Mus musculus: one gene and its partners. The protein of the gene in region 3 purifies or fractionates together with the protein of the main gene of each other region. This does not show direct contact. Links are inferred from orthologs where the notes say so. Each region holds a gene or a part of one and is shown on either strand. Other genes may lie near its edges.

Region 1 (3,746 bases), on a different chromosome or scaffold from region 3:
TCTTCCTTCCTTCCTCCCTCCCTCCCTCCCTCCCTCCCTCTTTCTTTCTTTCTCTCTCTCTCTCTCTCTCTCTCTCTCTCTCTCTCTCTCTTTCTTTCTTTCTTTCTTTCTTTCTTTCTTTTGATTTTTCCTGAGACAGGGCTTCTCTGTGTAGCCCTGGCTGTCCTGGAACTCAGAAATCCCTACGCTCAGTATTTTGAACCCTGTTTCAAAAAACAAACAAAACAAAAGACTGTGAACGTTCACAATGAATTCTTCCCTTTACTCTTCACTCAACTCTATAGCCTTTCTTATACAACCCATGTAAGATGTAGGCTGGAATCCAAACTTGGGAGGGAGGAGAACCTAGGAGAACCCGGAGGTTGTCCCTGCACCCTTTTCAGTGTCCCTCTCCACAAAGTCAGAGTTTTAAAGAATCCCAAAGACCCTGTGTGGTGGTGTACACCTTCAACCCCAGCATTAGGCAGGTGGATCTCTCTTAGAGGCCAGCCTGGTCTATTTAGCAAGTTCCAGGACAGCTAGGATCACGTAGTGAGAACCAGTCTCAAAAAACAAAAATAAAAACAAAAAAATACATCAAAGGCTATTACACCTTTTCTTTCCTAGTAACGCAAAGCAAGCCATGTGGGTTTCTTATTTTAATTCTCTTGAAATTTAAAATCCTGCCTGAGCTCAGGGAATAAAGGCAAGAAAGACTTAGTGATTGACCACCCAACTGCGAAATGACTGTAATTGACTGAGGTTGAAGAAGGAGACTGTGTCCCAGAGTCTTTCCGGTCCAGAGTTGTACCCGCCCCTCCAGGAACACGTGACAGACAGCGCGGCAGATAAACTACAACTCCCAGAGCGCCACGCGGCCGGCCTGCGTTACGCTTTCTCGCTGATTGGTCACTAGGGATATTTGAAAGGAGGTGCTGGCGCGGAAAACGAAGCGTGCCCACCCGGTGCTTGGTGGAGCTCGGGCTGGAGGACGCTGCTAGGCCGGTGAGGAACGGCAGCTTCGAGGGAATTAAGGCACGGAGGGTCTGGTGAGCGCGCGCTCAAGCCGCGGTAAGTGACATTCCCATTGCTGACCTGGGAAGAAACGGGGCGTTTCTGCGGAGGCTCGGCGGCCCCCGAAAGGGTGTGCTCGGCGCCCAGGACCCTGTGGAGACCCCTGCGGTGGCCTGGTGGGACACTGAGGACAAGGAGCGTCCTGGAGGAAGGAACAGTGGACTTGTCAGTTTGTAACGGGAGCCCAGTTTATATCGGCCTCTCCCCGCATAGGATTTCTGGTGGGATTCTTTGCCTGCTTCATCCTTTGAATCCTCCTACAACTTTCAATCCCTTCTTTCCTCCAGTTATTTCCATTACAACCCTTCGCAGGCTTCTACAAACCATTTCGTTGTATCTAGACTTTTGCCATGAGGAACTTCAAAGGAGTCAACTTCGCCACTCTGCTCTGCAGCAAGGAGGAGACCCAGCAGCTGCTGCCTGACTTGAAGGTGGGACCCTTTATGGCTCAGGACACACCTAGTTTCTGAGATTATCTGTGTTTTTTTCCTTTTCCTTTTTTCTTTTTTTCCGAGACAGAGTTTCTCTGTATAGCTCTGGCTGTCCTGGAACTTACTTTGTAGTCCAGGCTGGCCTCGAACTCAGAAATCCACCTGTCTCTGCCTCCCTAGCGCTGGGATTAAAGGCTTGCGCCACCACGCCCGGCTTCCTTTTCCTTTTTATTTATTGTTTTTATTTTTATTTAAAAAATTATTTTTCCGCCGGGCAATGGTGGCACATGTCTTTAATCCCAGCACTTGAGAGGCACAGGCAGGTGAATTTCTGAGTTCGAAGCCAGCCTGGTCTATAGAGTGAGTTCCAGGACAGCCAGGGCTACACAGAGAAACCCTGTCTTTGAAAAAAAAAATTTTTTTTTCCCCTAGGGCTACTAATGTGATCATCTCCTAAGGACACTCTGGTTTATGTTCTCCGTTTGGGAGAGTTATACATCGGTTTTTGTTTACGTTTTATCATTCTCCTTATAGTAAATTTTACATTCTAATTTTATTTATTTATTTATTCATTTATTTATTATATGTAAGTACACTGTAGCTGTCTTTAGACACTCCAGAAGAGGGCATCAAATTTCGTTAGGGATGGTTGTGAAGCCACCATGTAGTTGCTGGGATTTGAACTCAGGACCTTTGGAAGAGCAGTTGGCGCTCTTAACCACTGAGTCATCTCACCAGCCCTCTAATTTTTAATTAAAAAAAATTTTTTTTTTCCATACTGGGGATTGAACTCAGGATCTCATGCATTCAGGAAAATATTTCACCACGGAGCTATATCTCTATATCTGTTTTCACTTTTAAAAATAACATATCATCTATGTCTTCATATGTTATATACAAGCATATATAATATATAGTATGAAATATGTAAGCTATATATTATCTAAATATTATATATATGTTTAAAGATTTCTGAGACAGGGTCTCTCTACATAGCCCCTGGCTGTCCTGTAAGTCACTATGTAGATGAGGCTGGCCTCGCTCGAACTCAGAAATCCACCTGCCTCTGCCTCTCAAGTGCTGGGATTAAAGGCCTGAGCCACCACTGCCCGGCCTGTTTTCACTTTTTTATTTTGAGACAGTGCTCATTCGCTCAAGCCCAGGAAGCTCTTGAACTTTTCTTCTGTCTTTTTGCCTTCACACAGGCCTGTGTCACCAAGCCTGGCTTGTGTTTTGCCGTAACTTGGAGAGAGATACATGAGAACCTGTGGGGCCCTGTTTCTGCCCCCCCCCCCCTTTCTTTTCTGCTCACGCGGCTTGATTCTTTCTCCTAGGAGTTCCTGTCCAGATCCCGGACTGATTTCCCCAGCAGCCGAACAGATGCCGAAAGAAGACAAATTTGCGATACCATCCTGAGGGCTTGCACCCAGCAGTTGACTGCCAAGCTCGATTGCCCTGGGCACCTGAGGAGTATTTTGGACCTGGCAGAGCTGGCCTGTGATGGCTATTTGTTGTCTACTCCACAGCGCCCTCCCCTCTACCTGGAACGCATTCTCTTCATCCTACTTCGCAATGGTTCCACTCAGGGAAGCCCAGACACTGTGCTGCGCCTTGCCCAGCCTCTCCATGCCTGCTTGGTTCAGAACTCTGGAGAGGCTGCCCCTCAGGACTATGAGGCCGTGACCCGGGGCAGCTTCTCTCTGTTTTGGAAGGGAGCAGAGGCACTGTTGGAGCGGCGAGCTGCGTTCTCAACTCGGCTGAATGCCTTGAGCTTCTTGGTGCTCTTGGAGGATGGCAGTGTCCCCTGTGAGGTCCCTCACTTTGCTTCTCCAACCGCCTGTCGTTTAGTTGCCGCCTATCAGCTGTACGATGCTACAGGACAAGGTCTAGATGAAGCTGATGCCGACTTCCTGTATGAAGTGCTTTCTAGGCACCTGATCAGAGTCTTAGTAGGTGAGGGTGGTAGCTCTCCCGGTCCTCTCTCGCCTCAGAGGGCCCTCTGCCTCTTGGAAATCACCCTGGAACACTGCCGTCGGCTCTGCTGGAACCACCACCACCGCCAGGCTGCCAGAGCAGTGGAGAGGGCTCGTAATCACCTAGAGAAGACCAGTGTAGCTCCTAGCCTCCAGTTATGCCAGATGGGGGTTGAGCTGTTGGAAGCTGTAGAAGAAAGACCAGGGGCAGTGGCCCAGCTTCTGAGGAAGGCAGCAGCCGTTCTTATCAACAGTATCGAGGCGCCGTCGCCCCCGCTCCGGGCATTGT
Region 2 (3,746 bases), on a different chromosome or scaffold from region 3:
AGGCCTTTGTATTCAGCAGGCCTCCTCCCGGTCAAAGCAGCTCTCCCTTCTCTATTTACTTCAGGGTTTCCCTCTCTTCTGTGTAATGGGTAACAGATCTTACACCGCGTTCTCAGCTCCTTTAAAAAAAAAAAAAGGAAAGAAAGAAAGAACGGCTTTACTGTCCTAAGTCAAGATCTCATTAAAATAAACAAAGTTATCACAGGAGGCTGCGGGAGGGCGAGCCAGTGACCCCGGCTACTCCGAAGGCGGAAACACGAGGATCCAGAATTCTACACAACCTTGTGTCAGACAAAACCCACCGGCCTCTAACTTGTTCCTCTGTAGCTAGAATTCTACCGATCTGTTCATCTCATTCTGTGCTCCCTCGCCATCAGACGCTGAGGCCAGGGGGAGGACGCCCGGGTCCGCCGCTGTATCCTCCGCTCTTATCGTAAAGTACTTCGAGGGAATAAACGATCGTCCGGACACCTCGGGGGCTGGGGCCCGGGAGGAGGCGGCCACAGACCGGAGCGGGGCGGAGCCACGTAACCGCAAGTCTAGGGCCAGAAACCCAAGCCGGACCCCACGGAGCCGCGTGGACTGAGCGGGGCGGGGGACCCAGGGGTAACCGAGTGGGTAGCCAGCCCGGGGAAGTGGCGTACGCTGTCCCGGAAGGAAGTCGACCACTGAGGCAGGGCGGTCCGGGGCGGGGCGGAGCAGGCTGCTGGCCGCCGTCCGCGCGTCCCCGCGTCCCTCCCGCCGCCCCTCGAGCCCCGCCGGGGCCGCCTTACCCGCCCTCCCGGCCGCGGCCGCCGCTCCTCAGGACACCGAGCGTTCGGGGCCGGAACCCGGAGACAAGCCGGTGCCGATTGGCGACGCTCCGTCACGTGACCGCAACGCTCCGCCGGCGCCAATTTCAAACAGCGGAACAACTGAAAGCGGCGCTGCGGGACCCACCCCCGGCCCGGGCTCCCCCGTCACCCCGCCCCGGGCTCCCACCCCGGCCGTCCCGCCGGGACCCGCCGCCCGGGCCCGGCTCGGCCCCGCGTGGAGCAGACGCGGCCTGTGAGGTGAGTGGGGTGCGGCCGGGTCCAGGGAGGGCTCGGAGTCGGCACTGCCGGGGCTGTGGGGCGCGAGGGGGTGTTGGGCACCGCCGGGAAGAAGGTCTGAGCCTCCGGCCTCGGCCTTGCCGCCGCCGTGTTCTCCGAGCATCCCCGGACCCTGGGAACAGGCCTGCCCTCGGAGTCTGCATTTGCAGTCAACCCTGCCTCCGCCTCCACCGCTGCAGGGCGGGATCCTGGCTGAGTGTTGGTTGCAAGGTTCCCTGTTGAGTGTGGAGAATAATGGGGTCGTGGGGTGGCTCTGCAAGTCTCCTTCCGCTAGAAGATATTGGGAGTGTTAGGGAAAGGCTGGTCAAAGAGAGCCCCTGTGGTGGTGGGGGGGGGTGTCTAACATCTGATTGGGGTGGGGTGCAATGGGAAGGAAAACGAAAACTGAGATTTGAAGGTCGAGAGAACGGAGTATGAAGAGAGCTGCAGGGTGGAAGGGACCTGAGAACTCTTAAGCAGCTGGCAAACGTCAAAAGAGTGTAATCCCTTCTTTGGCAGGTGTCCTAAAGCGACAGCTGCTTTCTCTGTTTCTCACAGGATTGCAAAAGTGACAGGATTTAACTTAATGATAAATTATTCTATCTACCTATAAAAAAATCCATAGGAATGCTTTTTCTAAAGACTTCCTTCCTTAGCGTTTCAAAACCACTTTAGCATAGCCAGGCATAGTGGTGAGTGACTGTAATCTCAGCAACTAGAAAATTAGAGGCCAGAGGCTCAGCAGTTCAAAGCCAGCCTGGACTACAGGCGATTCTGTCTCAAATATAAAAGCCACCTTAAGCTTATTAATGATGGCACATCTTAGTATGAAGGAGATCAGTATTACAATCTTACTTTTGAAGCAGAAGATCAAGGTATATAGAGTATTATACTCACAAAACTAAAATATTGCCAGGCAGTGGTGGCGCATGCCTTTAATCCCAGCACTTGGGAGGCAGAGGCAGGCAGATTTCTGAGTTGCAGACCAACCAGGGCTACACAGAGAAACCCTGTCTCAAAAACAAAACAAAACAAAACAAAAAACAAAAAAATCCCACTAAAATATAGTTACTTTCAGGTACCAAAATATCATTGTGCAAATGCTTTGCAAATTTTGAAAGAAGAAAAACACACTTTAAAAAAAAAATTAATGTAATGGGGCTGGGGAGATGGCTCAGTGGTTAATGGAAGCTCTTGAAAATCTTTTTTTTTTTTTCCCAATTCAAAAGGATTGGGGTTTTTATTGTAGAACACTTACAAGCATTCACAAGGCCCCGGGTTCAATCCCTACCACCACATAAACCTGGTATTGTAGCTGCACCTGTGATTCTAACAGGTGGAGGCAGGAGAATCAGAAGTTTAAGGTCCCCTGCATTATTTGAGACTGATGGAAAAGGGCCATAGGGTATAGCTCAGGAGTAGAGTAGAGTCCTTGCCTACTGTATGTGTAGCCCTGAGTTCAGTCACAGTACTGAAAACTTTGGAATAAATGAGACTGCACAGTCTACACACATTGCTGTGAGCCATCAGTACGGAAGTCCCCCCCTTTTGTCTGGGATCTTGCAGACTAGTGGTTGATCTCACCAGTGTTGTGGCAATAGGGCCTCCTGCCTCTGCCTCTGTATGCACTGACCCTGTGACCTGCAAAGATGTAAACTGGCCAAGGCGTTGTCACAGAAAGGACTGCAGAATCAAAAGTATTGTCAGGACTCCTAATAGCCTCCTGTCCACCCGACCCATCGTCTCTCATCCCTCTCCCCAGTCATTGCAAGTGACTTGCCTTCTAGTACACAATGGCAGGCATTTCCACATTCTTGTAGATGACTCATGTATTCCTTTGGCCAAACGTTTAAAAAGATGTTAAAGATGTTTTTACATTTTTACTGGGGGCAGGATTGACCCACATGCCACAGTGTATATGTGGAAGTTGGAGGGAACCGGTCGGGGGCTGATTCTCTCTTCCCACTATTGTGGTCCTGGGGATTGAATTCAGGTGGCCGGGCTTAGCAGCTGATGGTTTCAGTCTCTGAGCCATCTTGCCAGCACCCCCCCCCCCACACACACACATCTTTGTCTTGTTTGTTTGCCTTTTCATAGTACAGGGAACTGAACCTAGGGCCTTGCTAGGCAAGCACTCTATCGCTGGCCAAACGTTCTTAAGCTTCCAGGGGACCACTGACTCCAGTCCAGTCCCAGGTTCCCATCTTGAAGTGTTTGCTGCAACTGGTAGCTTTCCTTGGTCAGTAATAGGGCTTTATTTATTTTGTATGTCTGTTTTGAGACAGGGTCTCATGTGGTCCAGGCTGACCTTGAAGTCACTGTCTGGCTAAGGGTGACCTTGAACCTTGTAGGTGCTGGGAATACAAGTGTGTATCAAACCTAGCTTCTGCCCTTATTGTCTGAGGGTTTGACCAAGGTCCGGGCAGCATTCCCCTGGGCCTCTGAGCTTCTGCTTTTGGCCATTCATGCAGTTTGTCTCAGCCCAGCGGATCTGACAGGCAGCTTCTCCTTGCCCTCCTCAGGGTCAAAGCTTGCGATTCTCGATGGAGAGCGAAAGCACAGCCTCACGATGAGAACCAGCCCCCGCCGGCCACTGATTCTCAAAAGACGGAGGCTGCCCCTTCCTGTCCAGAATGCCCCGAGTGAAACATCAGAGGAAGAAGCAAAGAGGTCCCC
Region 3 (3,746 bases):
ATGGTGATCCAGGCCTTTAATCCCAGCCCCTGGGAGGCAGATCTCTGTGAGATGAAGCCAGCCTGGTCTCCATAGCAAACTACAAGGCAGCAAGATCTGGTCTCATAAAAAAAGAAACTCCGATTTAGATTAAGGCAGTTTAAAAGTAGGAAAAACTAGGCTGGCAAGCCTGGTAAGGGTGCCTGTTGCCAAGCCTAACAACTGAGTTCAATCCCTAGAACCCGCAAGGTGGAAGAACTGACTCAAAAGTTGTCTTCCAACCTCTCTAACTGTGTCCTCACACACAAAATACAAAAGAGAAGATGGGAGCTGGAGAGACGGCTCAGCAATTAAAGAGCCCTCGATCTCCAGGAGGGACAGAATTCAGATCCTAGCGACCACACTGGGTGGCTCACAAACGCCTGCAACGCCGGCTCCAGCTCCAAAGAACTCTGTCTCTTCAGGCCTAACATACACACAATTGGGCACAGACACACAAAAAAGTACTCTCAATACTAGTAGGTAAAGCAAGTCAAAGGAACAGATAATAAAGTCATTTATCCATCAGCTCAGCCCCACGTGAACTTGATTCAAAAGAATGCTAAGCCAGCAATCTTTATTCAGGTGTATCCAAGCCCCTGATTACAGAGAGCCCAGGCTAGCCTTAAACTTGCAATCTTCCTGCCTTAGCAGAAGTGCTCAAATCACAAACATGCACCAATCATCACACCTAGTAGTAAAATCTGGTGCCTTCGACGTGTATGCTTTTTTTGTTGTTGCATTTTTCTCTTTTGCATTTTAATACTCAAGGACTGAACCCAGGGCCTCCTAATATGCTGAACACAATCTAACAGGCTACAAACTCAGGCAAACTTCATTTTTAGGCTTAAATGCTAACCCATCATTCCATCATTATCATCTTTTTTTGTTTTCAAATACGGAGTTTCACTATATGTAGCTCTGGCTAGACTGGACCTTGTTACAGAGACTCAGAGCCCCACCTGCCTCTGGCCAGACAGAATACTGGGATTCTACCAAGCACCTTATTTTATTAATTAATCTCATTTCTCTGCCTGAAATCTTTTTAAAAATAGTTTTTGAATATACCATCCCAGCATTGGAGGTGGAAATCTCAAGTTCAAGGACAGCATGAGCTACAGAGACACAGAAAAGAAAATGATTTATGCCCACATCCGTGTCCCAGGCCAGCCAGGAGTACATAGTGAGTGAGACTCTGGTGTCTACATAAAACAAAAAGCCCCACCATATTTATCTGCCACCATTTGACGCAGGGTGCTAATACTCACCCCAGAGTCGTTAATGCATGTAAAATGTTTTTGCTAGCCACTCAATAATAAGTAATATATTTAAATGCTGTCATGTGCATCAACGTGAAATGAAGTCAGAGAGAAGAAACAAACTTTTAAAAAATGCAAGTTTACCAAAATAGGTTCAGGAGAAAGCTTCTCTTCTCTAACATGTTCAAGTTCAGGTTCAGGCTCAGGCTCAGCAAGTTCCACCTCTGGTTCACACACAGGCACCTTCTCTACAGGTTTTGGTAGGGCTTTAACAGTACCTTTTCCAGTACCTAGCGTTTTTGCTTCCTGTGGATGAAAGGGAGAGAACAGAATGTTTTCCCAAGGGTGACAGCTAGAAGATGGGCCTTTTCAGGTTAATTGGGCTAGGGAGATCGGTACCCTTTTCAGGGCGATAGTTACCCTTTTCAGAGGCACTCTTGCCTGTAGCTCTTCGCTGACTTTATTACCAATGTCTCCAAGAGCAGTTCTCGGTCTCAGCCCGGGCTTGGAAGCAGCAGTAACTGTCACAGGCACACGCTTGGCGCCTGCCATACTGACCTTGGCCTTATTTTCTGCGTTAATTTTCGTGTTCTGAAAGAAGTAAAAGAACAACTTGAAAAGGGTCCACGGCAGCAAGCAGGCAGCCCCGAGGAAGTCACGGGTTAATTAAGGCGGGACCTAACTAAGGAAAGCAAGGGTGGTAGGATCTAGCCTCCAGCCGTGACAAGCAAGTTTCCACCCAAATCTTTCACCTTTAATCCAGTTTCCCCTTAAGTCCTAAGCCACCCTAAACATGGTGAATTTACATCGGAAAGGATGCCATAAAAGCCTCCGTCGTAGACAGCTCTCCGGGAAGGCGAAGAATTCACCCTGGGCCTTCACCATTAAGAGCACAGCACCCACTCCCCACAAGTCCTGCAGCCCAGATAGGTCCAGAGGTCTTTTTCACCCTCCATAAGGTGGGTCCTCAGCTCCCCGGCCTCGCCGGAGCCCTCCCGGATCCCCCTCCCGCTCCGGGATCCCGCGGTCTTCTCCCGCCGCGATCACCGCAGCGCCTGGCCCGACTCACCCTAGTGACCCTGAGCGCCATGGCTCCTCCAAAATCAGAGGTTCCCCGATTCGAGAAGACACCCTAACCTCTGGCTATCCACAGCTAAACACTAACAGCCGTTCCTCCGCAGCACGCCGGGAGGAGTCTGCCGGGCTTAGGTTTAAACCCCGGGCCGCTCGCTCCTCATTGGCCAGTTCGTGGCACTCGCTCTCTTCCCATTGGCGCCGCGGGTTCCCGTAGAATGCGTTTCCTGGGCGATCCCGCGATCCCAAGTTCGGCGGGGGTGGGGCGGGGGCGGGGCCAGAGCGAGGCTGCCGCTGGCAGCACCGCCCACCCCTCGCGAGGTCAGGCTCTATGCCTGCGCACAAGTCGCATTGCTGCCACCTGCCTTAGGTAGGCATGGCGTGCAGTGCTCACTTGTGTGCTGTCCAAGCTAGCCCAGGCGACTCCGTTGGACTTTAGGAAAATGACTGTGGGGAGTACGCATATCAGTTTTGCTGTTGTCCTATTTATTGTTTCTCATCCTCTTCTATAGAAGTGCCAATACTATCTTAAGAGTTCCCGAAAGCTTTGTTGCAGAGACGGTCTTTAATATGACTGTTCCAACAGCTATCTGGGATGGATTTTGAGGTTGATAGCATGAAGTTTTAGCACACATACACATAGTAAATGTTTTTTGTTTTGTTTTTGCTTTTTGTTTTTTCGAGACAGGGTTTCTCTGTATAGGCCTGGCTGTCCTGAAACTCACTCTGTATACCAGGCTGGCCTCGAACTCAGAAATCCACCTGCCTCTGCCTCCCAAGTGCTGGGATTAAAGGCGTGTGCCACCACCGCCCAGCTGTAAATGGTTATTATAAGCAAATAGATTAACATACCAAGCTCCCCAATAGCGACTGCCCCAGTGATAAAAGAAAATGTGCCTTATGCTTAATTTTGCTCTAAGTTTAAGATTACTCCAAAAATATAGTTTTGTAAAATCTTATTTAACAAAGATCTCTATTGCAACTCTCTATCTTTCTATGTCAAACTCCTTATTAAGGCTTATTAACTTCAGTGAAATTTTCCACATTAATTTTCAGTAACACTAACGCGGATTTATTTATTGACCAGGATCTCTTGTAGCACAGGTTGTTGGCATTCCTTCTATGCTCCGCCCAACAGTTACCTAGCAACAGCCAGGTAGGCCTGGCTTGCTATAAAAAGGACTGTTTGGCCTCTCCCTCTCTCTCTGACTCTGCCCTCTTTTCTCTCTCTGTCCCTTTTCTCCCTCTCTCCCTTCTCCCTCTCTTCACAGGTTCCTGGCCAGCTTCTTTTCTTCTTTTTCTCCTTCTCCCTCCCCCCATCTTTTCTCCTCTCTCTCTTTCTCTCTCCCACCCCCCCTTCTCGTCCCTTCTCTTTCTCTGTCTCTATTCACTTCT

What was found.
Region 1: the proteins of Ccnb1 (region 3) and Espl1 purify together in Homo sapiens (affinity purification with western blotting; 5 studies listed by BioGRID and IntAct, with this or other methods). This does not show direct contact. The link is inferred for Mus musculus from reciprocal best matches to the Homo sapiens genes CCNB1 and ESPL1.
Region 2: the proteins of Ccnb1 (region 3) and Foxm1 purify together in Homo sapiens (affinity purification with western blotting; 4 studies listed by BioGRID, with this or other methods). This does not show direct contact. The link is inferred for Mus musculus from reciprocal best matches to the Homo sapiens genes CCNB1 and FOXM1.

The regions. Positions count from the first base shown.
Region 1 is NC_000081.6:102,295,366-102,299,111, forward strand, and holds the start of Espl1 (separin), read left to right. Parts: upstream 1-927; 5' UTR 928-1,050; exon of another isoform or gene 1,051-1,394; 5' UTR 1,395-1,403; coding exon 1,404-1,484; intron 1,485-2,818; coding exon 2,819-3,746. UniProt on the Homo sapiens protein: Caspase-like protease, which plays a central role in the chromosome segregation by cleaving the SCC1/RAD21 subunit of the cohesin complex at the onset of anaphase. During most of the cell cycle, it is inactivated by different mechanisms.
Region 2 is NC_000072.6:128,362,066-128,365,811, forward strand, and holds the start of Foxm1 (forkhead box protein M1), read left to right. Parts: upstream 1-928; 5' UTR 929-1,052; intron 1,053-3,592; 5' UTR 3,593-3,639; coding exon 3,640-3,746. UniProt on the Homo sapiens protein: Transcription factor regulating the expression of cell cycle genes essential for DNA replication and mitosis. Plays a role in the control of cell proliferation. Also plays a role in DNA break repair, participating in the DNA damage checkpoint response.
Region 3 is NC_000079.6:100,784,036-100,787,781, forward strand, and holds the start of Ccnb1 (G2/mitotic-specific cyclin-B1), read right to left. Parts: upstream 2,452-3,746; 5' UTR 2,368-2,451; coding exon 2,347-2,367; intron 1,869-2,346; coding exon 1,698-1,868; intron 1,584-1,697; coding exon 1,422-1,583; intron 1-1,421. UniProt on the Homo sapiens protein: Essential for the control of the cell cycle at the G2/M (mitosis) transition.